2 linked regions of the Lonchura striata genome follow. The protein of the gene in region 1 interacts with the protein of each later gene in a pairwise test. Links are inferred from orthologs where the notes say so. Each region holds a gene or a part of one and is shown on either strand. Other genes may lie near its edges. The genes, in order: CEP19 and CEP43.

The links.
Region 2: the proteins of CEP19 (region 1) and CEP43 interact in binary tests that used the Homo sapiens proteins (3 or more experiments, as listed by UniProt). The two-hybrid records come from large-scale screens. The link is inferred for Lonchura striata from reciprocal best matches to the Homo sapiens genes CEP19 and CEP43.

What each region holds. Positions count from the first base shown.
Region 1 is NC_134612.1:5,289,484-5,301,486, reverse strand, and holds CEP19 (centrosomal protein of 19 kDa), read left to right. Parts: upstream 1-7,271; 5' UTR 7,272-7,281; coding exon 7,282-7,375; intron 7,376-8,636; coding exon 8,637-8,798; intron 8,799-9,069; coding exon 9,070-9,431; 3' UTR 9,432-11,675; downstream 11,676-12,003. Other genes in the region: PIGX (GPI alpha-1,4-mannosyltransferase I, stabilizing subunit), read right to left, coding at 2,424-2,567, 3,616-3,716, 4,948-5,161, 5,906-6,038, 6,446-6,509, 7,044-7,110. UniProt on the Homo sapiens protein: Required for ciliation. Recruits the RABL2B GTPase to the ciliary base to initiate ciliation.
Region 2 is NC_134605.1:39,037,458-39,049,167, forward strand, and holds the start of CEP43 (centrosomal protein 43), read left to right. Parts: upstream 1-6,703; 5' UTR 6,704-6,871; coding exon 6,872-6,961; intron 6,962-11,710. UniProt on the Homo sapiens protein: Required for anchoring microtubules to the centrosomes. Required for ciliation.

The sequences.
Region 1 (12,003 bases):
TCCTTCCCCAGGCACAGCTTTTAAGGAGCATTTTTTTTTTTTGTTGCTGTTTTTTGGGGGGGATTTTTTGTTTGTTTGTTTTCTTTGTTTTTGCTTTTGGGTTTTTTTTTTTTGGTTTTTTGTTCGCTTTGTTTTGTTTTGTTATACCCATTTCTTTGTGATTCAGAAAGCCTTAATTCCCAACACGGCCTTTAATGCCCCATCCCCTTTTCTATCCTTGCTCTGATTCAGCCCTTACACATATTAAGGATGGGGATGTTTGTGTCCAAGCCTTTTGGCAGTGTTTTCTTGCCAAGAACTCCTCAACACCTCGTTCCTGTCTCCAAAACTGCCAGAATTCTTGCACAGGATTTACAGCTCCTCCTCTGATTTCTGAGATCCCTCTGGGGCTGGCACTTGAATCCTCCTGCATGGCACACCTGCTAAATTCTGTGCTGCCTTAGTGACAGCAGTTTCTGCTCTGAGAGAGAGATTCACTGGCAATTTCCTTTGTAATTAACACTGCTATGGTTATCAGACTTATTTACAGTTTGTAAGGAAAAATGTGTCTGCTGTATTTACAATACAGGTGCTGTGGATTTAAAAACAAATATTTGCCACAACAAAAACCACCCCTTGTGAAGCTCTGCCATTCTTCTCATATTTTACATTAATCAGAATCAATTACTTAGGTTCAGTTGGAAAGGTGATTGACAGCAATCTTGATATATACTTTATTTCCATATTTTTCCACCTGCAATATTTTTTGTTTGCCCCGAGTACACTCCCATTCTCTTTCCCTAGGTTTTGTCAGGGATGTTGATGTAGCTGAGGGATTCAACCTGTGATTTTCAACTGGTGTTAAAAAAACAGGCAGTGAAGTCCTGTCCCTCAGCTCTGGCAATCTGGGATGTTGCCATTCCAAGGGTCAGGCTCCAACAGAGTTACCTACAGAGCACAGAAACAAACTTAGCCCTGGAAATTAAATATCCCACTTGGAGACAAGTGCCACAGTGCTGGTCCCAGTGCTAGCAGGGCTGAACAGCCCAAAAAAAGAATATATATGTATATATATATAATTTGTATTTATATATTTACTATATATATCCCAACCTGCCACGGAAGCAGTCACAAAGAATTCACTCTGTTGAATTCCAGCAGGAGAAAGATGCCCAAGGGACATGGATGAAAGGCTGCACACCGAGCCCTTGAAAGGAATTTTCGTTCACCCCTCGCACACACACACTCACCCAGATTAGCTGCTCTGAGTAATTTACTCGAGGTTTATCAGGGATAAAATGCATTTTCTCCACGCGGGGGTTCCCGTGGGCTCCCAGTGCCACCTACTGACAACTGCAGACAGCACCCGAGCTCTGCTGCTCCAGAGCCTCTCGGCTTTTCCATGAGGTAATTTCCTCTCCATTTCCTTCTATTTATCAGCTGTCCTGGAGATTAAATGTCCATCTTCTAAATATTTGCTTCTAGTCACTATCCTGTCCCTCACTTTCATCTTCCAAGGGTTTCTTTCCACTCATGAAATTTTTTCAAATTTTCTAAACTCTTTCAATTCTGACCAATTGTTCATCCTGAGAAAAGGAGGTTCAGGGGAACCTTCACTCTCTAAACTCCTGACAGGACATGGAGCCAGGTGGGGGTCGGGCTCTGCTCCCAGGGAACAAGGGACAGGACAAGAGGAAAGGTTCAGGTTGGATATTGGGAAAGGCTCCTCTTGGGAAGGGCTGTCCAGCCCTGGCACAGCAGCCCAGGGCAGTGGCGAGTCCCCATCCCTGCAGGGATTTCACAGACCTGTGGATGTGGCACTTGGGGACATGGGTTGAGAGTGGCTTTGGCAGCACTGGGGGATCTTACAGGGCTTTTCCAACCTTAATAACTCTGTGGTTCTAATTAGGCCAAGAGCAGCCAATTCCTCAGAGTCATTAGCATGGGAGAGATTATCAACGTGTCCCAGGTAGGCACAGAATGTCTCTTCACAAATTCATACATAACCCATCTGCACAACAAGCTTAAAATCCAGAAATTTTAATGATTCAGTAATGTTTTTCATACCCTTAATAACCAATCCCTGAGACAAGAAATACAAACACCGCTGCAAGAGGTACTGAAAGCAAGCTCTGGGCCAGGAGGAGGGAATAGGAGCCCCAAACCCACCAATGATTGTTGCCTCATTGCCCACAGCAGTGCTTTCAGCTTTTTGAGGCTTTTTCCTACTCTCCATCTGCTTTGGATATTGACAACACATCCAAAATGTCTTCTGGGCTGTGGAAGCCATTTGTAAACACTATGAGCCAAAGGAACTATAATGCTTATGGGAGCCTTGCACCCCCTAAGATATAAACAGCAGCAGGGTGGGATCCATTCAGGAGCCCAGTGCAATCTGCAGCTGGTTGTGCTGGGTGGAGGGCAGACATTCCACATTTCCTCAGTCACTGTGAGAAGTGTCCATACTTGCAGGCAGCAGCCAGGATGAGGCCAGAGCAGAGCCCTGTGGTGAGCAGGGTCAGGGCACACACCAGGGAACTGTGCTCCCTGAGCCCCACAGGAACCCTCAGCATCGATTCCTCATATGCCTACAAAGAAAAAATAAATATATATCACTCATTTGAGCTGTTTCTTTTTGACTGCAAACGAGAGGATGAGGAACCAGACCCTGATTTAATTAGCCCTTGGCTAAAGCTTCTTCTGAGATTCGGTATCAGAAGAAGGATGGGAAATCTTTTAATTCACAGCCACTGCTGCACTGCACAGCTCAGGAAATGGATCTGCTGCCATCTGTATCCCTGGATCTCTGCTCCTACTCCAGCCACTGAGGGAATGTCTGGAATGCTGCAGGGAGAGCAGCTCCCAAGGTGAGCTCAGATCACGAAGGAGACAGATTTCTCCAGAGTGAACAACCATTTGGTTTTTTCATTGATGCAGGAAGCTGCAAAATGTTTATGGACAACAGCTACAGAGGTACCAGTGGTCTGCAGGTATCTTAAATATAGGAAGGCACATGTGTTACAACAATAACAGACTATTTTATTATATAAATTAGTCTAATTTCTGAATCTCTACACTACCATGGCACTTTGGAACATCAACCACAGTTGTTGGCCACACTAAAGATCCAACTTTCCTTGGTTTTGAACACAAAAAGAAACTTCACCTTTTCCTAAACACTCAACCAAGTAACTACCAAGCAAAGAGGAGTGGCTTTATTTTGGATGCTACTACTTAAATCTTTGCAGTTTTACCATTACTTTAGCTAGATTATCTTCCACCTTGCTACTCCTCTGAAGCACCAATGTTGTAGAGACTTTTCTTAATTTGGCCAGGGCCAATTATATCCTAGGATTCCAAGTAAACTAGTAAAGGAAAAAAAAAAAAAAAGATCAGGAGAGCAGCCATGTTAAAGGGCCAGAAGAGCACAACCCCTGTAAACACAACAGAAGGGCAGGATGACCCCCACTAAAAGCCAGTCAGAAAGGAAAAAAGGAGCTGACAAAGAAGGAACCACCCAGCTAGTCTCTTAATGATTAATTCCTGTTAGGAAATAATTCTAAAAATTAATCTTGAAAGGTGTTAATCACAGAAAAAAGGCAGCAGTTGTTAAATAGAACCAGAGGGAGAACTCACGGGTCTGTGTTTTGTGGTGTGCCACTGACAGGGACTGTTGGTGTCAGATGAGCAGGGAGTGTCCACTTCAGCAGGTTCCCAGCACTCTGCAGACAGGTGCCCTAGGGAAGGCATTCCTGCATCACCAGGAGCCAGGCAGGATAAGCAATCAGCCTGCAAGCTTTTTCCAAATAAGGGATCTTTTCCTCTACAACAGCTCAACAGAATCTATTCCCTGGGAGCCAAGTGGTGAAACACCTCTGCATGGCCAAAGTGGCACTGGGCAGTCTTTGCTGTGGATTTTACAACTCTTCCCTTCCTGATACAGCAGGTACCCAAGAAAGAATCTCACCTGTGTGGTATCTTGCCCATTCTGTCCTTATCAGAGCAAAGAATTCCTGGTTAGCCTGCAGACCCCTCAACTTTAGCCATGTAGTTAGAATTTTTCACCAAAATAACTAAGTCCCCAAAATAAGTAAGGCCATTTGTCTTCTTGGCCTCCTGTCAGCACACAAAAGATCTCCCTTCCAATACTTTAAAACCTTCCCCATTAATCATTAATAATAAATGTTTTCCTGCTCATAACTAGTAAATGTGCCAGGAAGATTTAACACCCCTTTTCTAAGTGACCAGGTAGTCCTGCCTGTCCCTATGCTTATCCCAGAAAACCATTGCTCAAGTAAAGAAAAAGGACTTGAAAATCATTAGTGTGCTTGACTTGGCAGGAATGATTTTGTGAAGGGACACAAAATTTGTAACAAAATTATAGGGTTTCATTGTTCACATAACTTGAAATATTAATTGTAGTGGATATCAGGTGCTTGTTTCACCAGAGTTTGAGACTCCAACCATTCCAAGCTTCAGGCACAGTTTCCTACATTTCCCCTTTATATAAAGAGAATGCAGCAATAGTGTTAGAAGCCATCTGAATACTTTGATTACTCTAAATAGGTGACAGTGGCTACTGAACACACCCTGCACATCACCAGCTGCCAAGGGAAAAATGATCAGAGCAGGAGCCCTTTGGCAAACCAGGCCCTGCTGGGATGGTGACAAACACGGATCATGACAACTGCCACGTCTTCCAGCTGGAAGAGCCCAAGCAGCACAGGGGTGCAATGGCAGCAGCACAGCACAGAGCAGTCTGTGACACAGAGCAGACTCTGACACAGAGCAGACTCTGACACAGAGCAGTCTCTGACACCCCCCTGCCTTTGGCCAGCCCTCAGCGAGGAAGACAACGAGGTCTTTATCAGGGCCACGCCTCCCGCTTACGTTCCCGCAACTACCAAGAGCTCCATCTCAAACACAACCAGATTCGGGCTGGCCCAAGAGCATCAATGAGAATCTCACTGTGGCAGCAGCAGAGCAGCACCTCTGGGCTCTGCAGAGCCACCACGGCCTGGCGTGTCCCGCGGGCGGGCCGGTGGTAGCGCGCGTGCACGGGCACGGCGGCGCCGAAGCAGCGGGAGCAGCGCGCGTCCGGCTCCAGGAACAGCAGCAGGACAAGAGCCTCGGCCAAGTACTCGGGAGCCTCCACGTCAATGACATCAGGAAATAACATTGCCTGCAAGCAGGGAGAGATACAGGAGCGGTTTGATGGAAATCAAAAACCATTGCCCTCCCTCATGCTAACACTGAGATGCATTTTGTGGTCAGGATGATCAAGTTGGGAATTCCAGCCTTAAGCTATTCCAAAATACCTTTTCAAGACTGTCCTATGTGTGGAAAGTTCTTAGTGTCACTGTGCCTACAGCCAGACCTGTGAGGTGTCAGCTCAACGATGGCGTCAGCAAGGCCAGTCCTGCACCCCAGGCATGCCAAGGGCAGGAGCTGCCCACAACCTTTGCACCAATGTTTTAGACCAATGTAAGCAGATTAAAGCCACAGCCTTTGTACATCTCTCTAATGTGAAGCAAAGACTGGACAGCAGAACAGAAAGCTGGGATGGAAACTAAACTGGGAAGCTGCTCAGTCCAAACACACAGCACGTGACTTAGAGCTCACCAGCACCTCCTTGGGGGTTTCCCTTCCACCTTCTGAACCCGAGGCCCTCTTACCACAGCTGATCACCTGAGGCTAAGAGAGGAGCAGCAGCTCCCTGGCTCATCACCTGTGTGTGAGAATATCAGCAGCACCAGGGGATGCCAAGCGAGCTGAGTTACAAAGAGACACCAGAAGATTATATGGTTTGGCACCTCCTTCCAGGAATTAATCACCTTGCTTCAACAAGCCAGAAAATGACCAGACAATACAAGGCCCCGAGTCCTCACCTGACTCAGTGCCAGAGCTCGTGGTGCTGGGGCATTACCTTTGTCAGATTGTGCTGCTGCAGCGTTGCCAGCTCGTAGGGATCCACGTAGATTCCCGGCGGCAGACGCATCTGAGCTGCCACTGCACATCCTCCTGCATCCTCCCCCAGCTCCACCTTCACCAGCAGGTCCCTTCAAACAGCAACAGGAGCAAAAAACTTACACCCACACTTCAAAAGTGTGGCACAAGACCCCCGAGAGACATTTCTCAGAAGAGATGAGCTCTCACACCGAGTGCAACTAATTCTGACCACACTTCCCTGTCCAGCCTTCTTAACCTCAACCCCACATCCACGGCCAAAATGAAGTTTCACTTCTTTGTTAATGTCTCAGAACCACCAATGGCCTCCAAAAAAGTTTTAGAAAGGGGCCTCCTATTTTCCCTCCACTGCAGCTCGTTAATCCCTTGATCCTGTTAATGCATTCCCAGGAATCACAGCCCAGAGAGCTGATAGGGCTGCACAAGAAAAGAAGAGAGGCTCTTCCAGCAGAAAATCCCGTGGCACGTTATGCTGATGGAGGGCAGGGTGAGGACTCACCTGTGAAACCCCTCTTTCAGGAGCTCCTGTGTGACAGTGGTGTCCCGACAGGCTGCCTGCACATCTAAGGTGACACAGAGCCAACAGTGTAACAGCACAGCGACCACAGGGGCTGCAAAAACTTTATAACTCACAAACGCCTCATCTGCAAACCCCTTCCCTGAAGAAGGGAAGAAGTAATTGACTGTGATCAAAGCAGAACAGATTTCTTGGTTTGGGTTGGAAGACACCTTAAAGCCCATCCTGTTCCAACCCTCGGCTTCGAGCAGGAACCTCCCCGGGACCAGGGCACTCCAGGTCTGTCCTTGAACACTTCCAGCCACAGCCTCTCTGGGCAACCTGTGCCAGAGCCTCCCCACCCTCACAGGGAAGAATTCCATCCCAATATCCCATCCATCCCTGCCCTCTGGCAGTGTGCAGCCATTCCCCCTTGCCTGTCCCTCCACCCCTTGTCCCCAGTCCCTGTCCAGCTCTCCTGGCGCCCCTTTAAGCACTGGGAGGGGTTCTGAGCTCTCCCTGAATCCCTCCCTCCTCCAGGTGAGCCCCCCCAGCTCTCCCAGCCTGTCTGCAGAGCCCCGCGGTCCCCGCGGGTGCTCACGGAGGGCGCAGAGCAGCGCGCCCAGCGCGGCCCCGACCCGCACCGGGCCCCGCCGCCCGCCCGCCATGGCGGCGCTCCGCACGGCCGCGCGGGCTGCCCCCGCGCCGCCTGACCGCGCGGGGCCCGCCCACCCCTCGCTCCGCGGCGCCGTGTCCCGCAGGCTTTCCTGCGGGCAGCCCGAATGGGGCCTTCGGCGGAGGGGGCCTTTCTCGCTGGGGCTGGGCGCGGCGGCGGAGCCATGGCAACCGCGCGGAGAGGCGGGCCCGGCCCGGGACAGCGGCGGGAGGAAGGGGAAGGCGGAGAGGAAGGAGTGGCTTTGTGCGCCGCCTCAGGTGAGGGGACATGGCGGGAGTTTAAGGGAGACAGAGACATCCTGGAGCGGGGCCAGCACAGGCTGCGGAGGAAGGGCCTGGAGCATCTCTGTGCCCAGGAAAGGCTGAGGGAGCTGGGGCTGCTCAGCCTGGAGAGGAGCCCCAGCTGAGAGGGGCCTCAGCCCTGCCTGTCCCTGTGTGTCCCTGCCTGTCCCTGTCTATCCCTGCCTGTCCCTGTGTGTCCCTGCCTGTCCCTGTTTGTCCCTGTGTGTCCCTGCCTGTCCCTGTGTGTCCCTGTCTGTCCCTGTCTGTCCCTGTGTGTCCTTGTCTATCCCTGCCTGTCCCTGCCTGTCCCTGTGTGTCCTTGTGTATCCCTGCCTGTCCCTGTCTATCCCTGCCTGTCCCTGTGTGTCCCTGTGTGTCCCTGTCTGTCTCTGCCTGTCCCAGTGTGTCCCTGCCTGTCCCTGGGTGCAGGCAGGGCCAGAGCAGGGCCCAAGCTCTGCTCCGGGGCCCCAGCAATGGCACCAGAGCCACGGGCAGGGACTGAGCCCAGCAAGTTCCACCTGGACGTGAGGAAGAACTTTCCAGGGCAGTGATGGAGCCCTGAACAGACCCAGAGAGGGTGTGGAGCCTCCCTCACTGCAGATATCCCAGAGATGTCCGGACACAATGTGTGCCATGGGCTCTGGGATGGCCCTGCTGGAGCAGGGAGGTGGCTCCAGTGACCACTGTGGTCCCTCCCAGCCTGGCCCATCCAATTGTCACTATTAAGGACACTACTGCGTGTTTGAGGTCTTTCCTGTGTGATTTTTTTACAAAGGAGGAAGTGTTTCCAATTCTGCCTCAAAGTAGCTTTTCAACATTAATGTGATTTTTCTTGATGTGGAGAAACCCATTGATTTTTTGGGGGGTAAAATATGTTACTTTGCTTTACTGCAGTCTGGAAATCACCTTCATGTTTGACATCTTTGCAGTCATTTAAAAACAATTTTTATTGGTTTTAAACCAATACAAATACTAGTTTTTAACCAATTTATTTTATTCAAAATAAAAGTAAAAATAAAACACCTGTACTCAGTGCTGTCCACTGAGCTGGGAAACAGGATCTGCAACAGATTTGAATTTTTAAATCCCCTCTAATTTAATTTCATAATTCATTTCCCTGGGCTTTAAGGCCCATTGTGACCCAAAGCACTCTGGGGTTCTGTGATTTTGCTGAAGTGCTGACAACAAAGGCAGCACGGAGAGACTGTCGCAGCTGCTCTCCTTTCCCGTTCCCCAGGGAGCGCTGCTGCGCGCTCGGGCGGAGCCGCGATGACTTTCAGCGCTCAGAAATGCGGGGTCAGCTTCCAGCCGCCATCCATCGTCCTCATCTACAGAGACAACAGCCAGGACAAGACTCGCCAGCGCATCATGCCCGTCAGGAATTTCTCCAAGTTCTCAGGTGAGGGGCATTCATTCCGCCTGCATTCATTCCGTGTTTGCCTCCAGCTGCACGCACAGGAACCCATTGGTAGCAGCATCTGAGTGCCCTCCTAGCAGCGTGCAGGGAGGGGCTGTGCTGGGGTAATGTTGTCTCCCCGAGGAGCCCAAGGCTACATCTCAGCCTCTCTGAGCCTGGAGGGTTTGGAGAGACCCCTGGAGAGGGTTTGGGAGAGGATGTGTCAGTGGGAAGAGGTGTGCTGGAGCTGCAGGCCTGTGCTGGCTCTCCCCAGACTGCAGCAGGGCTGCCGAGCAGCTGAAGAACAACCCTCGGCACAAGGCCTACCTGGAAGGGGTCTCACTGCGCCAGCTCCAGAAGCTCTACAGCTTGCTGAGAGGTCATTTGGAAGGACAGAGCCTGGCTGAGAGCTTGGAAAAGTTCCAGCAGGAAGAGACCATTGACCCAGAGGAGGATATGAACAAACTGGATGACAAGGAACTGGCCAAAAGGAAGAGCATCATGGACGAGCTCTTTGAAAAGAACAGGAAGAAGAAGGATGACCCTGACTTTGTTTACAATGTTGAGGTGGAGTTCCCCCAGGATGAGCAGCTGGAGTCCTGTGCTTGGGACACGGAGTCAGATGGAGAAATCTGATTCCAGACGAAGATGGGCAGTTCGGAGACAAATCTGTGTCCCAGCAGAGAGAACAATGCCATCATATGTTGGCTCAGGAGAACTTGAGGTGCCACAGCAATCCCAGGCTTAAGTGAGCTCTGTTTAAGAAGCCAGACTTGATTAAATGGAAACTGCATAACTGAAATTGTTGGCTGCCTTTAGTCTTTTCCTACATAAAATAATTTTAAATTATTTAATCTTTCAATTTTTTACATTTCAGTCAGCTTTGGCTGAAAATGAAGCATTAAATATTCATGTCCTGAGGACACTGTTAAAGCTGTACTGTACAAATAGGGTGATTATTATTGCCTGTTGGGAAGTTAAATATGTATCAGTCATTCTGGATAAATCAACTCTGCATTGAGAATATTACTCTTACATTTCTCTAGCAATGCTTAAATCTTCAGTTTTAGCTTGCACAAAAATACATCCTTACATGTAAGAGAAGGAATATCTTGAAAATTAATTAGTCTTGAAAGTACTTTTGAAAACACAGTGATTTCAAACTGCTTCAGTGGGATGATTGGATCCTTACACTCCTGGGTAATGCTTCCTCATAAGTGCTCAGTTCTGGGAGAATGTGCCTAAAGTATCTGAAAAACCAGAGTGGTAGAAGATCAAAGGCTGGGGGTGGTTCTAAAGTAAGACAAACTCATCCCACGGAAGGTTTTAATCCTGCTGTCTACCTTGCCTGGTCTCTACTAGATCAGTCCTGCTCTCAGGTAAGAACTGGAGGACTAAGATTAGGATTTTTTGGGAAATTTTACTACTCCAAAAGCTTCCTGGGTTTTGGCTTTCTGAACCCAGGCAGCTGTGAGGGCTGTGGGTGAGATGGACCTTCATCCCAAATGGAGTGGCCTCAACAAACTTCTGCCTGACATAACTAAGAGGAGTGGCTGGAGGAGCAGCTGGAAGAGCTCTCCTCCTACAGGCTAAAATGAGTGGCTGCTATGAAAGTCATGAAGCAAGTGTCAGTTAAGCCACAGTTAAGCTTTGCTGTCACTGGAGAGGATGAGGGAGCTCACACTTGGCCAAGGAGGTCTTCAGTCAGGAGAGAAATGAAAGCTGAGGCCTCACTTGCCATAACTAAAAAAATGTAAAGGCTGACTCAGCTCTCCCAGAACCGGAAAGGGCATGCAGGGGTCTGGCACAGGCCTTGCCTCCACAATTGCAACATAACACCACAGAAAGATCTCCCACTTGGGAGGGAGAGGGTCCCTGAGAACATTTCCTCCACTTCCAGCCTGCCCCCAGCTTCATCCTGACCAGGGCATGGCCTGTGCCCAGCCCCAGGCATGGCCTCCTCTCCACTGAGGGCTACATGAGGCCTGAGTGCCTGGATTGTGAGGTTCGTGCTGGCCTGCTCCCCCAGCCCACCCCAGACCTCCAGCAGGGAGCCATACTGGTCTTCCCAGTTTGGGATCCTCAGGGAACTTGGCAGGAAGGCACTTCACAGCCAGCTTTAGGTCATGCATATAGACATGAGATGAGACAGATCCCAAAACAGTCCCTCAGCAGCCTCCTGGTAGAGCACATCCTACCAGCCACAGCCCCACAGCCCTCTGCACTTCACTCCCACTGATCCTGACCTGCCTGGCTGCTCACCAATCCAGACTGTGACATCTGCATTTGCATGGAGAACGCTGTGGGACTCTGTGTCCAAAGCCTTGCTGAGCACACGGAATCCACCACTCTCCCCTTGCCTACAGATCCATCCATTTCATCTTAGAGGAAAGCAGGTTGGGCAGGCATAACCTGGTCTCAGCAGTCCATGCTGACTTCTTCCAACCACCCTCTTTTTCTAGGACTGTGCTCCAAACAAAGAACATTCATTCCACAGTTTTCCCAACAAGAAGGTGTGTGGTATTCACATTCTCTGAACAGAGAAAGACATGATTCTCTCTCCCAGGATTTTTCCTGGAAAGCTGTGAGACGCAGTGAAAAAGCTCAGAGAAAGAAGAAAACAATTCTTATCTCTATTTACTGCACCTGTTGTTTGGCACATGTGGGATGTGTTATGGAGATTGTTTACCAAAGAGGGATTTGTTAATTGGACACTGGTGATGGTTGTTTGGATGGATTGGCCAGTTGGGTCAAAGCTGTGCCATTCCTGGAGACAGCCACGGGTTTTCTTTAGTATCTTTTTAGTATGATATAGTTCTAGTATAGTATTAATGTAATATAATTTAGCTTAATAAAAGCAATTTATTCAGCCTTCTGCAACATGGAGTCAGAGCTCGTTATTCCCCGTGCAGGGGTGTCACACTGCTCCAATAAAGGTGACTGCCCCATTCTCTCTGGGATGGCCTTTTGGCTGTTTCTGAAGCTGGGTGAGACCCTTGGGTTCTCCAGTCACCAAGGACCTTCCCTGATCACCATGGCCTTGCAAAGACAGTGAAAGCAGCTTTGTAAGTTCACCTCAGAGCGGAATCTCCTCTTGCTGCCTGCACAATCCCATTCACATCACAGCTCCAGCTGAGCCATGGCTTTCCAGGCACCATGATCAGGGAATGTTGAGTATCCCCATCAGCTCCATACAATTAAGAATCCC
Region 2 (11,710 bases), on another chromosome or scaffold:
GATCTCCAGTCTCATCATTTGAGCAACAGGAATTAGTGATGATGTGAGATTCTGCTTTACAGACCTGCTTAATGGTTTCATTTTCTATTATTTTGAACTGAAAACCAACCAAGCAAGACTACTTTTCTGCATAAAAAACTATCAAGACAAAGCACTGAGAGACGTAAGGAGTGTAAGATTCATGTAAAATTCTGCCCTACCTACAAAGAGCATCTAGTACCACTTAAAAGATAGTAATGTCACACATCACCAAAAAAAAGCTGCACTCTACAAAGGTGTGAAAGAAACACCTTAAGGAAGTCAATTATGAAGAAAAATAACCCAGCAAGCATTATAGCATTTCCTTTGATGTAAGTTGGTAGGCAGAAAGAGGCTTTTTTTTTAGTGACTAAGTTGCAAAAAAAGCATAAAAGCAATTGTATCCCTTCTCACTGGACTCATGCTTGTTCAAGTGATGACTAGGAACAGAGAACAGGGCTTCAAAAAATGCTGCTATCAGAGCAGCAGAAGGTGCTGATTTATTCTATATATTGTTCTGAACCCTGGAAGCAGAACATATAGCAACAAAGCAAGTTTAAAAGCCCCCAGTCTGTAACTTTCACTTTTTTCCCCCCGATAAACAATACATAAACTCTAAGGATTTAGCTCAGAAGACAACCTTGCAGCTACCACAACACTATCGAAACAGACTTCTTTATTCAAGGTGACCTTTCATTTATCTGTGACATGGATGGTGACAAGTGAAAAGTGCATCAATCTCACCTTAAAGGCATCTGAATGATGTGCATTTGAGGAAATACATGCATCCATATGAGCTGTATTAACAATTAAGATGCATAGATCACATACATTTTTAATAAAAATTGCTTCTGTTTACTAAAAATTACACTAGATTACTAATTTAATTAACAGAAGAACAGATTTAACAAATCTTACACCAACTCTCCTCTAATAAGAAACAGTGATTTCTTATTATGAAAGTTACATAAAAACTCAGAAAGTTCCAAAAGATTCATAACATTGAAAACTGAAAACTTCAAAATAAAACCTGCACACATACGTAAAATTATTACTTGACACTAGGTGATCAACATTATTTTCATTATGGATAAAATTCTAAAGTGCAATAACAGCTTTGGGATTACTCTTGATAGGAATGCAAAACACGTGTTTCTGTGTGTGTTTTAGTAACCCAGTCAGGGCAAGGTCACTTTCAGTTATGTTAGCATGGTTCCATGCTGTTTTCAAAATTATCTGCCCAGGCTTATCAAACACTAGAGAGAACTCTTAATAAACACTGAAGAAACCCTCCTTTAACACATTCACTATAGTTTGAATTCTAATATACCATCTAGAGCAAAGTGCTGATGTAGCACATGCTTCTTTTGGACTCTAGCTATTGGTCACCTCTTATTTTACTTGCTTATTTTCTTTCTGTTTTGCTTTTAACAATTAGCTTTACTAGCAAACCTCTCCTTAATATAAAATCTCCTGCTCTACAGTTTAGTTCAGCGTGTAAAATCAGAAGAGAAGATGCTGCAGAAGAGCATTCAAGCATCAGCAGGAGATGCCCATGATTATGACATAGCATGCACGCATGCTAAATGCCGGCAACAATGTCCAGAGATAAGATTTAGGACTGTTAGCCTGGCATCTAAAGCCACAAAAATGAATACCCAGAGCTTTGGTAGCATCCATAACAAGTCAGCATGCCATGTGTGGCATCTGCCACAACGAGTTAGACAAACCAAGTCACAACACTGTAAGGCAGAAGCACTAATTTAATTTATAACAACGTTCTTAGCTCCGGCAACTTTCACCTCCACTGTCCACTCCCAGCTAACCATGCATCCCAAGCCCAAGTGCTGGTCCGAGTAACTGCAGAAGGCTCTTCGAAGCCTTTTCAGAGGCAATACTCACGCCCACCGCCACGGCAGGATTTCAGCACTGCCCCTCTCACGGCCTTCAGTGCGGCGGCTGAGCGGTGTCGGGGTGAGGCTGGAGGTAGCAGGGGCTGCGCTCAGCCCCGCCGGCTTCCTGGAGAAGCAGAAGAGAAAACTGATAACTTGTAACTTGTAACAACTGTAACTTGTAACTGATAGCATGTAACTTGTGCCGCCGAGCACGGCACCCAACACACGGCTCTGCTCCGGCACCGATGTCACCGCGACAGCAGAAAGCTTTACTCAGATAAACCATCACCACAGAGGCGTCTGCACAAACTGTAAAGAATGCAAATCTCCTAAGCACCGGAAGCGAGAGGCCTCCAGGCGACAGGAGGATGCCAGACCTGATGTAAAGTGTAAAAAAAACCCTAAACAACTATTAAGAGTTTTCCCGCCTCTGGGAAATGCCACTTGTTTGGCTGACTTACGGATTTAAAGCATAGGAAGTGAAAGCAAACACAATCTGAGTCCTAGGCCTGCAAATCCCACGTTTGCAGTTGGCGCAGCTGAGGATCCCAGGGGCAGAGAGCCACTCTCCCACAGAAAAGCCTACTCAGAAACACCGCGGGCGGGCCGAGCCGCAGCTCCCTCCTGCCCGGCTGCCACCGCGGGAGCGCAGCCCCACGGCTGCGGGGGCAGGGGGCGGGAAGAGGCAGCCGAGGCAAGCCGGAGCAAGGACACACTCTCAATTCCGACCTCCGCTGCCTCGGGTTCAGACCTCACCGCGCCGCGCACCCCCGGGCCCGCGTTACCTTCCTGCGCTGCCCCGGCGCTGCCCTGCCCGGCACCGCCCTCTCGCAGCTCTGCGCACGGCCCCGCCCCGGAGCGCGGGGCGGCACCGCCGCTCCCCGCGGCCCGCCCGCGCTGGCGGCGGCCCCGCGGTGTCCCCGGAGCCGCCCCGGAGCCTCCCCGCGGCCAGCCGGGTACCGCGGGAGCGGGGCACTGTGAGCGCGGGCAAGAAAGGAGCGGTGCGCTGCGGAGCAAGTGATTTGTGTGGGTGGTTGGCTCGTCCTGCTGCTTTGGTTGGTTCTTGTTTAGCATAGTAAAGGTGTTAGTTTCATACTGAGCTTTTGCGCGGCACAGAGGTCTTCGAGAGTGCGATGGGGACTCTAAATCGGACACTACTGACTAATGCCAGCCCAGGAGCTGACACAGGCGTCTGTGGCGTGCTTCTCCAGATAGAGAAGTTTGAAGTGGTAACAACTCGTGTTTGGAAGCAGTAGGAAGTTCCTGAGGAAGGAGCCCCAAGGGATGAGTCAGAACTTGGTTCAATATTTTCTCAGCGGTACGTTAAACTATGAAACATATTCTAACCCTTCTTTCTCTGCCGATGCATGGGTCATAAATACAAAGTGTGATTTTTAATTACTATCATGTAGTTTTGAACTACAAAGGGTATGTTACAACCATCCTACAATAATGTACTTAAGAAATATGTGGGCAGATCTGCTTCCACAAGCAAAATAACATTTGTTTTAAACAGATTAATTACAGTCTTTGTAATAAGGTCTTTGTTCAACATCTCAGTTCCATAAACTGGTAAAAAAATTAATTATGTTTTCATATTTACATGGTAGGAAGGAGGATGAGGCAAAACTAATCTCTTTACCTACCTTTCTGTGGAAAGGAGAAAATACGTTGGATGGAATGAGTGATGCATGGGTGACTAAGAGGTACCAAAAGCTTCAGAAATTTTCTCGAAGAATGAAAAATAGTGAAAGTCTCCAGATCCTGGTAAGCAGTGCGGCTCTTCCTGCTGCTGAGGACACCAGGGCACAAGTTTGATGTGGATGCAGCTGGGGTCTGGAACACATCCTCCGATGTTAAGATTTTTTGCAGTCAGCCATCCTGTGGCCCTGAGCACAAACTCCAGCCCTTTTCCCTGGGAAAGAAAACTCACCAGTCCAGGTCCCTGATGTCAGGTAGGGCCCCATTGGGACTGTCAGAGCAGCACAAGTTTGAGGTGGGGTCAGCTGGGGTCTGGGACACATCCTTCGATGTTTGGATTTTTTGCAGTCAGGCACCTGATAAAGGCCAGGGTGCTCTGAGCACAAACTCCAGCTCTTTTCACTGGGAAAGAAAACTCACCAGTCCAGGTCCCTGATGTCAGGTAGGGCCCCCTTGGGACTGTCAGGGCTCCGTGTGGCACTAAAGTCTTTGTCACTGCCTATTAAATCAGAACATAAGCACACCGAGTTGTTTTATTAGACTGAATCTATCTTTGTAGATTAGGGGTGAAAACACTGGGCTGCAGTGCACACACTTTTGCTAATTTGCTAATCTTGTTTGAGTTGCAACAGGGATTTGCTCTCTGACTGTGCCAAATTACCACTTTGCACTTTGTGCAAACTAATCTTGTTTACAAGTTTCCCATTAGGGTGATTACAAAGTGAGTCCAAAGCTACTCAGAAATAGTGTAGGCTTTAATATGTCCTATGGACAAAGAAGCCAAAATTTTATGTTACAATATCATAAAATAGTGTATGTTATTAAAAAAAATGTTTTTGTGAAATATGCAAAGATAGACAATGGACAGCTACACTGGATAACTATCTCCTTAAGACTTTCATATTTGTCTGTCTACTATGATCTTTTGTTTCTCTTTTGTCTTTTATCTCCTGATGGCTGCCTATTAGCACTCATGATGCTTTTAAAAAAATGAGGAAATGTCAGAATATTTGAGAAGTTTCCTTTGAATTTCATGAAAATTATGTTCTCCTCAAAAAATTCTGAACAAATGTGGTAGTACCCTCAATTTCTATGTTTATATGCTGAAATATGTAGCCTGAAAAAAAACCAACCCAAAATTAGTTGAAACACTTCAAAGAATACATTTTTCCAGCTTTCAGCAGTTTACATAAGGATTTAAGAATCAAGACAGAGACTTTCAGATTTTTTTCTCCATAACACAATGTTGTTTTGCTTTGATTATTCCCATTGCGCAAATAGAAAAAACAAATCCAGCTAGACTTTATTCCTAAAAGTGTGGTAAATAAACATTTACAATACTCTGAGCAGATACACACATTTTGGAATATATGTATATTCTCATGTCCTAATTTTAAATCAATAGACTTAGTCCATGGATTATTTTAAAGCTTGAATTTTATTTAAATTGTGTTAATAGCCTGTAGCTATGTGTTTCTATGATTTCCACAGAGTTGACTTGAGAATTACATAAATTCAAAACTGAAACATTTCCTTCAAATGTGAAACAGTTTGGGGCAGTGCATTGCAGAAGGACACTGGACTGTGCTTTGCTTCCCTCAAGGTGATGGATATTTAGCTATATAGTAGTCTGCTGTTTTGCAGAGCTCAAAAAACATCTGTAGAATGGATTCAAAATATTCTACGTGTATTTGAAAGCTGGCAGGCACAGTTTATGAAATGCTAAATGAATCTTACAAATTATAAACTATCTTCTAAGTCTACTGATTTGTCTTCCTCTGCTCTATCTTTTCTTCATGAATTATTTTATCAAGTGGGTTTTGTCTTTCCATTAAGTTTAGAGATCTAGTGAACAAATAAAAATAACTGTATCACCAGACATTATCTTTCTCTCTCTACTATTTATTTCTGACATGGTTTTGAAAAATTAAATTGAAGGAATTGTTAAGTGCTTAAGTACAGTGTTGTGGGTTTAACACAATTTTATTCTGAAGTGAAAGACTCTTCAATTCAAAATACAATACTATATTGTTTGGGCAGCTGTGGGAATGGGCATAGGACTCCAGCAGTACCTCCCATGTGTCCAGCAGAAATGGGGTGGAGTGGTGGACACCTGTCCTCACAGGCTTGGCCAAGTCTGTAGAGCATCCCTGAACAGTCGGTGAACGTGTTTTAAAACCAGCCTCCCGCAGAGCCCTGCTTCGCCCGGGAGCTGTACGTGCTCCCTTGGAGCATTCCTTACTTACTTTCCCGATTATTTGTCATATATTGGACTTCTCTTCAATAAAAATTATAAGCACTTCAGCATGGAAAAAAAATTGCCACATGTAGTTGTGCAGAGAAAGCATTACAATTTACAAAGCTTTTTGTTTTAAGGAGCAACAACGAACATGGTTATTACGAAACGAGGGCTCCAGAAGCCCCCCTTGGCGCCGTTGAGCGCCAGGTGCCCTTGCGGGCAGCAGGGCAGGCGGGTGAGCCCTTGCCCGGAGCCCACGGCTGCCGTCAGGAGCCGCTGGAGCGAGCGTGGCCACGGAACGGGGCTGGGCTGTTCACCCTGCAGCCCGAGCACAGAGCGGCTGCAGCTGCCCGGCGTCGGAGCTGTCCTAGCGCTTCTTGAACTTTGACCGGCTCGGTGTGTGACCACTTCCCCGGGGAGCCCTGGGGGACCTGCTCCAGTGCCCAACCACTCTCTCGAGGAAAACATTTTCCTAGTATCTAACCTAAACCGCCCGCGACTCAGCTTCATGCCATTCCTTCGGGTCCCGTCACTGATCACCAAGAGATGGATGCGTGCCCTTCTGCTTCTCCTTGCGAGGAAGTTGCAGACTGTGTTGAGATCTCCCCTCAGTCTCCTCCAGGCTGAACAGACCCAATGAGCTCAGCCGCTCCTCGTACAGTTGCTTGGGTTCGAGCGCGGCGGGAGAAGGGGAGGCACTCGGGGCGCGTCGGAGGGGCCGCTGGCGGGCGCGGGCGGCCGCGCGGTTCGGCCGTTACCGCCGCCCCCGCTTTGAACTTCCCGCCCGCCGCCCGCGCGGCCCGTTCGCCGCCGCAGTTTCCAGCCTCAGCGGGCGGCAAAAGCGCCGGGCGGCCGCAGCCTCTCTGCGTCCCCTCTCGGGGCGGGGCTGAGGGCGGCCCCCGTCCCGGTCCGCTCCGTTCCCCCGGGTCCGCCCTCGGCTGGCGTCTCCGGCGGCAGCGAATCTGCCGGGCCGGTCCCGCCGCTAGTGCGGTTTGGGCCGTTGTCAGGGAGAAGCAAGATGGCGGCCGCGGCGACGGAGGAGGACACGGAGCTGCGGGACCTGCTAGTGCAGACGCTGGAGAGCAGCGGGGTGCTCAACAAGATTAAGGTGGGCGAAAAAGGGCCTCCCGCCGGCGGGGCGCGTTGGCTGGCTCTGGCGGCGCTTCGCGGCCCTGCGGAGTGTGGGAGGACCCAGGCTTCCCGTGCTCGCGCCCTCAGTCCCGCTTGCGGCCGGTGTTCCCGGCTGGAGCGCTCCCTCGGCGTCGCGGCCTGGAGGTGGCGCCTGCTTTCCCCGTGGCGTTCCCCGGTTGCTCGTGGTGGAGCCGGTGCGCCGGCCCGGGCCTGACCGTGTCACGGGAATTGGGGATGTCCCGGGCGGGCAGGGCGAGGGGGGCGCGGGGCCGCCGGGGCTCCCGCGCTGCCGCCGGACTGGCTGGAAGCAGTGGCTGCGGCGCGGTGCGGGACGGGGAGGGTGAAGTTAATCCCTGCTGCCCTTACGGAAAGCCTTACGGAAAGCCCTTACTGAAAATTTCAAGCAGCAGTTGTTGTGGGTCGCTATTTAAGCAGTTGTTCTTCTTAAGTGTGGGTTGCTTCAGTTGTGCCTTGAAGGCTTGCTAAGTCTGGAAGCTCTCGGGGGATGCTGCCTGCTTACAGGGAACATTTGTTCCCTGGATGCTATGTTAAGAAAATATACGGAAGATAATGGAGTGCACGCTACTACTGAGTCTGGTGCAGCCTGAGCTTGTGTCAGAAAGGGTAGGAAAATTGGTTCCATGGATTCTTGTTCAAATTAAAAGCTTCTAGGAGTAATTATTGTGTATAACATAGAGCAAGTTTCCTTCAAAGTTGGAGAAATAAAGTGTAGCTTTCAGATAAGGGATGGTGGTGTTTTTCCACAGTGCTGTTTTAAGTCTCCAGAGGTCGTTGCTGGTATTTCAAGAACAATTCAACAACTGAAGTGATTTATGGAAGTGAGAGCATCCTTGTGTATGTACTTTCAAGTTTACTGTATTTTGAACTAGTCATACATTTCAGCAAAATAATAATCAAAATAACGTTGTTGATCCCTTTCAAATTAGATGTTCCTTATTTAAGTTCTGTAAGAGAATGAAGATTCTAGCTCAAGTAACTGTGTGCAGAGTAGTGAAGCTTTTCTAATGGATGTCAGATAGGCCTTTTGGACCATCTGTTAAACACTCATCTACTATTAAATAATGCAAGTATGGTGATAGTAAAATTGTAATTTAAAAAAGCATGGCAAGGCAATTGGGTCACATGGAGCTCGTGAACCATAATTTCTTAATTCCCACCTTTGTGTAGTATGGGAAATTTCATACTGTGGTTGCCAGTCCATTGAGTTTTATGTGAGTAAATTTATTGTAGTTCAGTATTGTATCATGCTTAGAGTGTGTGGTATCCAATACTGTCTAAAGTGCCGTTACGGCAAATTAGCAAATGACTTAGAAAAATACAAAACACAGCCTCCTTGCCAGATGATGTCTCTCCTTAATACAAGGTGCTACTGTTTAATAACTGGTGTGCTTACGGCTAAGGCTTTTGACTGGAAGAACTCATGCTAGTTTTTTTCTTAGCTGTAAACCTTAATTGGCGTGTGAGTTTGGTGAGTGTTGTTTGGCAGTATTAATGACTTAGATTTTGTTCTACTATAACTTGTCAAAACCCTGTTGCTGGAAGAATTTAGATTGAACAAGGCTTTTTAAGCTGTCATCTTTTACTTGAAATTAGATTACACCATCCATTAAAAAAAGTTGCAGTCATCCTTTTATTAAAATTAGTTAAACTTGATTTTTTCAATAGTGCTCATCTATTACATGTCAATATTTTTTTTTTTATTATGTGGTACAACTGAACATTTACATATTATTAAAACTGATGCCTGTTTCATACTTTAGAATGAGAACTGACCATTTTTCAAGATGGATGAGGCTAGAAAGCTACAATAAAGTATTTATGATTTATTCAAGTAGCTACATTAAGGAGAAAAATATGTGATCAATGTATAACTGCATTGGTATGAAGCACTGGAAGGATTAGAATTCAAAGGGAATTATTTCAGTGCATGGAATGTATCAGGGTGTCACACATTTTGTAACATAATGAGAGTAATTTTTAGAAATAAACTTACTGTCATAATTTGGTTCTCTACTAAGATACGCTTTTATAATGGCTTGCAGTTTATAGTTTATTCTTATTTTGATAGTTTCTTGGGTGCATTGTTGTTGATGTAAATTATTTAGCTAAAAATGTTACTTATATGACATTTAAAAATTTATTTATATTTTTTATTTGTCTTAAACTTTGAGCACTGAAGTAATTATAAAGTAATATTTTGAAAACTGGAAGTTGTATGAATGTATTTACTGCTTGCAGTTGAGAAGTTCCTATATTCTCTAAAATGCAATATGTGTGTATATGTGTATACACACACATAAATGTTTGTATATAGTACTGATGTATATTATATGTAGTTTGTTGATCATTGGAATTAGTCTGATGAATGAAACAGCTTTCTAATGAATTCTGTAAACACACAATATAACTGTAGATATTTGTATGCTAGTGAAAATTATCACTGTTTCTGTGTGATAGTGTATAAATAAGGGTGTTCTGTCTTGAAGAGAATGTGATCTGTCTCCTAGGAAGGCCGTCGTCATCTGAGCAAGAGGAGCCATTATGCTTCTTGTATGTTTCTTTGTTATCTTATTTTGTTTTGGTTTATATATTTTAATCTCTTGCTTTGGAATAATTTAAATTTATATTACCTGAATTTTTCATCTTCTCTGGAACTTGATGTTGCTACAGTTATGTGAGGGGAGCTATCATCACTGAGGTCATATGACATCACTAGTAAAGCTTTTGGCCCAGTGGTACTGCTAATTTCTTATTAATTTGCTTCAAAACCTGGATGCCTGAGGTACAAACTCAGTGCAAGTAATGTGATGTTTGAGGGAATAAAAGTCCTATTTTTTAATATGAGCATGTGCACAGGTCAGTTAAAATTGTCCTGTTTGCTTTTGCATCTTCGATCCATGTATGGTAATGAACAGTGCTTTTAAATGTCTTAGAATTATTAACTGTCATGATGAATGTGCTGTGAACTGCAGTGTAGCCTCCTGTTTTCTTCATGTTGTGAAGTGTTGTTTGTTTTGAAGCAGTTCATACTAGAAAGTCAACTTAATATCTATTTCTTTTTAGTTTTATATGTCAAGTAAAATATAACCATTTTTAATTATTTCAGACTAACTGTAATTCAACATTTAAATGTCAATATGGTCCTCATCATAGTCTCAGGGAGGAGTCTAAGTATGACTGGTTCTACTCCTAGTCCAGGACTTTGTTTATTTCTAGATTATGTGTGCATAATCACTCCTTTATGTCACTTAGCCACGATTGCAAAGTTTCAGCATACCCACCACAGGCTCAAGGATGAGAACCTTTACAGATTTTGCAGATGGAGATTACAGGAAGGGTATTACTGAGTAATGTTGGTAGAGATGTTCCTGGTTATGGTTAGACACCAGCCTTGGATTTGCATGTAGACTGGGAGAGGTGTTTATCCTGGTGCACACAGAGGTTTAGGGTTGATCACCAGCAGTTAAACAGCTCAGTGTTCAGCCATGTCTCTTTCCAGAGCAGTGCATCTGCTCTCTATCTACCAAGGTGTATGACAGTTGTTTTGGAGTTAGGAAGTGGAGATACTGAAAGTTGTGCCAAAGGGTGCCCATGTGCCACTAAATTTTACAAATGCAAGAGATTGTTTATGCTTGGGCATGCATGGGGCTGTTCCACAGTGCTGGTGCAGGTGGTGGTTACACATTCCTGTGCTTTAGCTGGCAGGTATCTGAGAAATCTTACTCATTACTTTAATCATTTCACTTCCCTAAACCACACATTTAACCACAGCATCCTCTGATGCACATCTTGTGAGTGCAAGTTTACAGGAGATTTTGCACCTCCAGCTGGCCCATTGCAGATCTCTGAAGTGTCTCCCATATTGTCACTTACTGAACTTGCCTACCCCTTGTTTCTTAGGGAATACACAACGCTGCCTGTATGGCTTCAAAAACTGTGTTCAGCTTGCTGAAGTGGGTTTAGAGGAGTGGTAGCATATGCGTTTGACAGGCTGAAATTTATATTATGGTTTCTGATGAGTCTTGGATGAAAAAAGAAGCCCAGGACTTCCTCTGCAAAAGCTGCAGAACTCTTAAGGGTTTGTAGAAATGTTGAGAGATGCACAAAGCAGACAGCAAGGCTCTGTTAGCTAGCAGACAATGTCATACTCACCTGTGCTACAGGTACAAAGCAGTTTATGAAGCTCAAGTTCCCACTTTTTTACCTAGTATTCCACAGCATTTGGAGATCAGTGTTGGGAAGCCATTGCTCATTCATATGAAATATTGCCCCAGCAAGAGAAAATACGGATAAAGCTTGATAGGAAAAAATATTTTGATGATGTCTCTTTGGAAGGTGTTGGCATATTAGGATTGAAGGCGAATTGTGTAGCTGTACAAAGGAGACAGTGCAAGGAGCAAGCCATATTCAGATTTTGTACTTACTATAAGAAATCATCTTAGCCACTGATGTGCTTACATGCTTTGAGGTGTAGGAATGTGCTTCAAGTTTACAGGTATTTTCCTGTTGGAAAATATTGTCTCAAGTTTTGTCTTAAGAAAATCAGATCTCTTGTTTAAGTCATGGACAAATCTATTCTAGCACAATCAAAGACAAATACTACAAAAAAACCCAAAAAACCCCCAAAAAAACCAAACCAAAAACACCCACAAAAAAAAAAGAACAAACACCCAACCAACCAACTAACCAATCAAAAAAACAACAC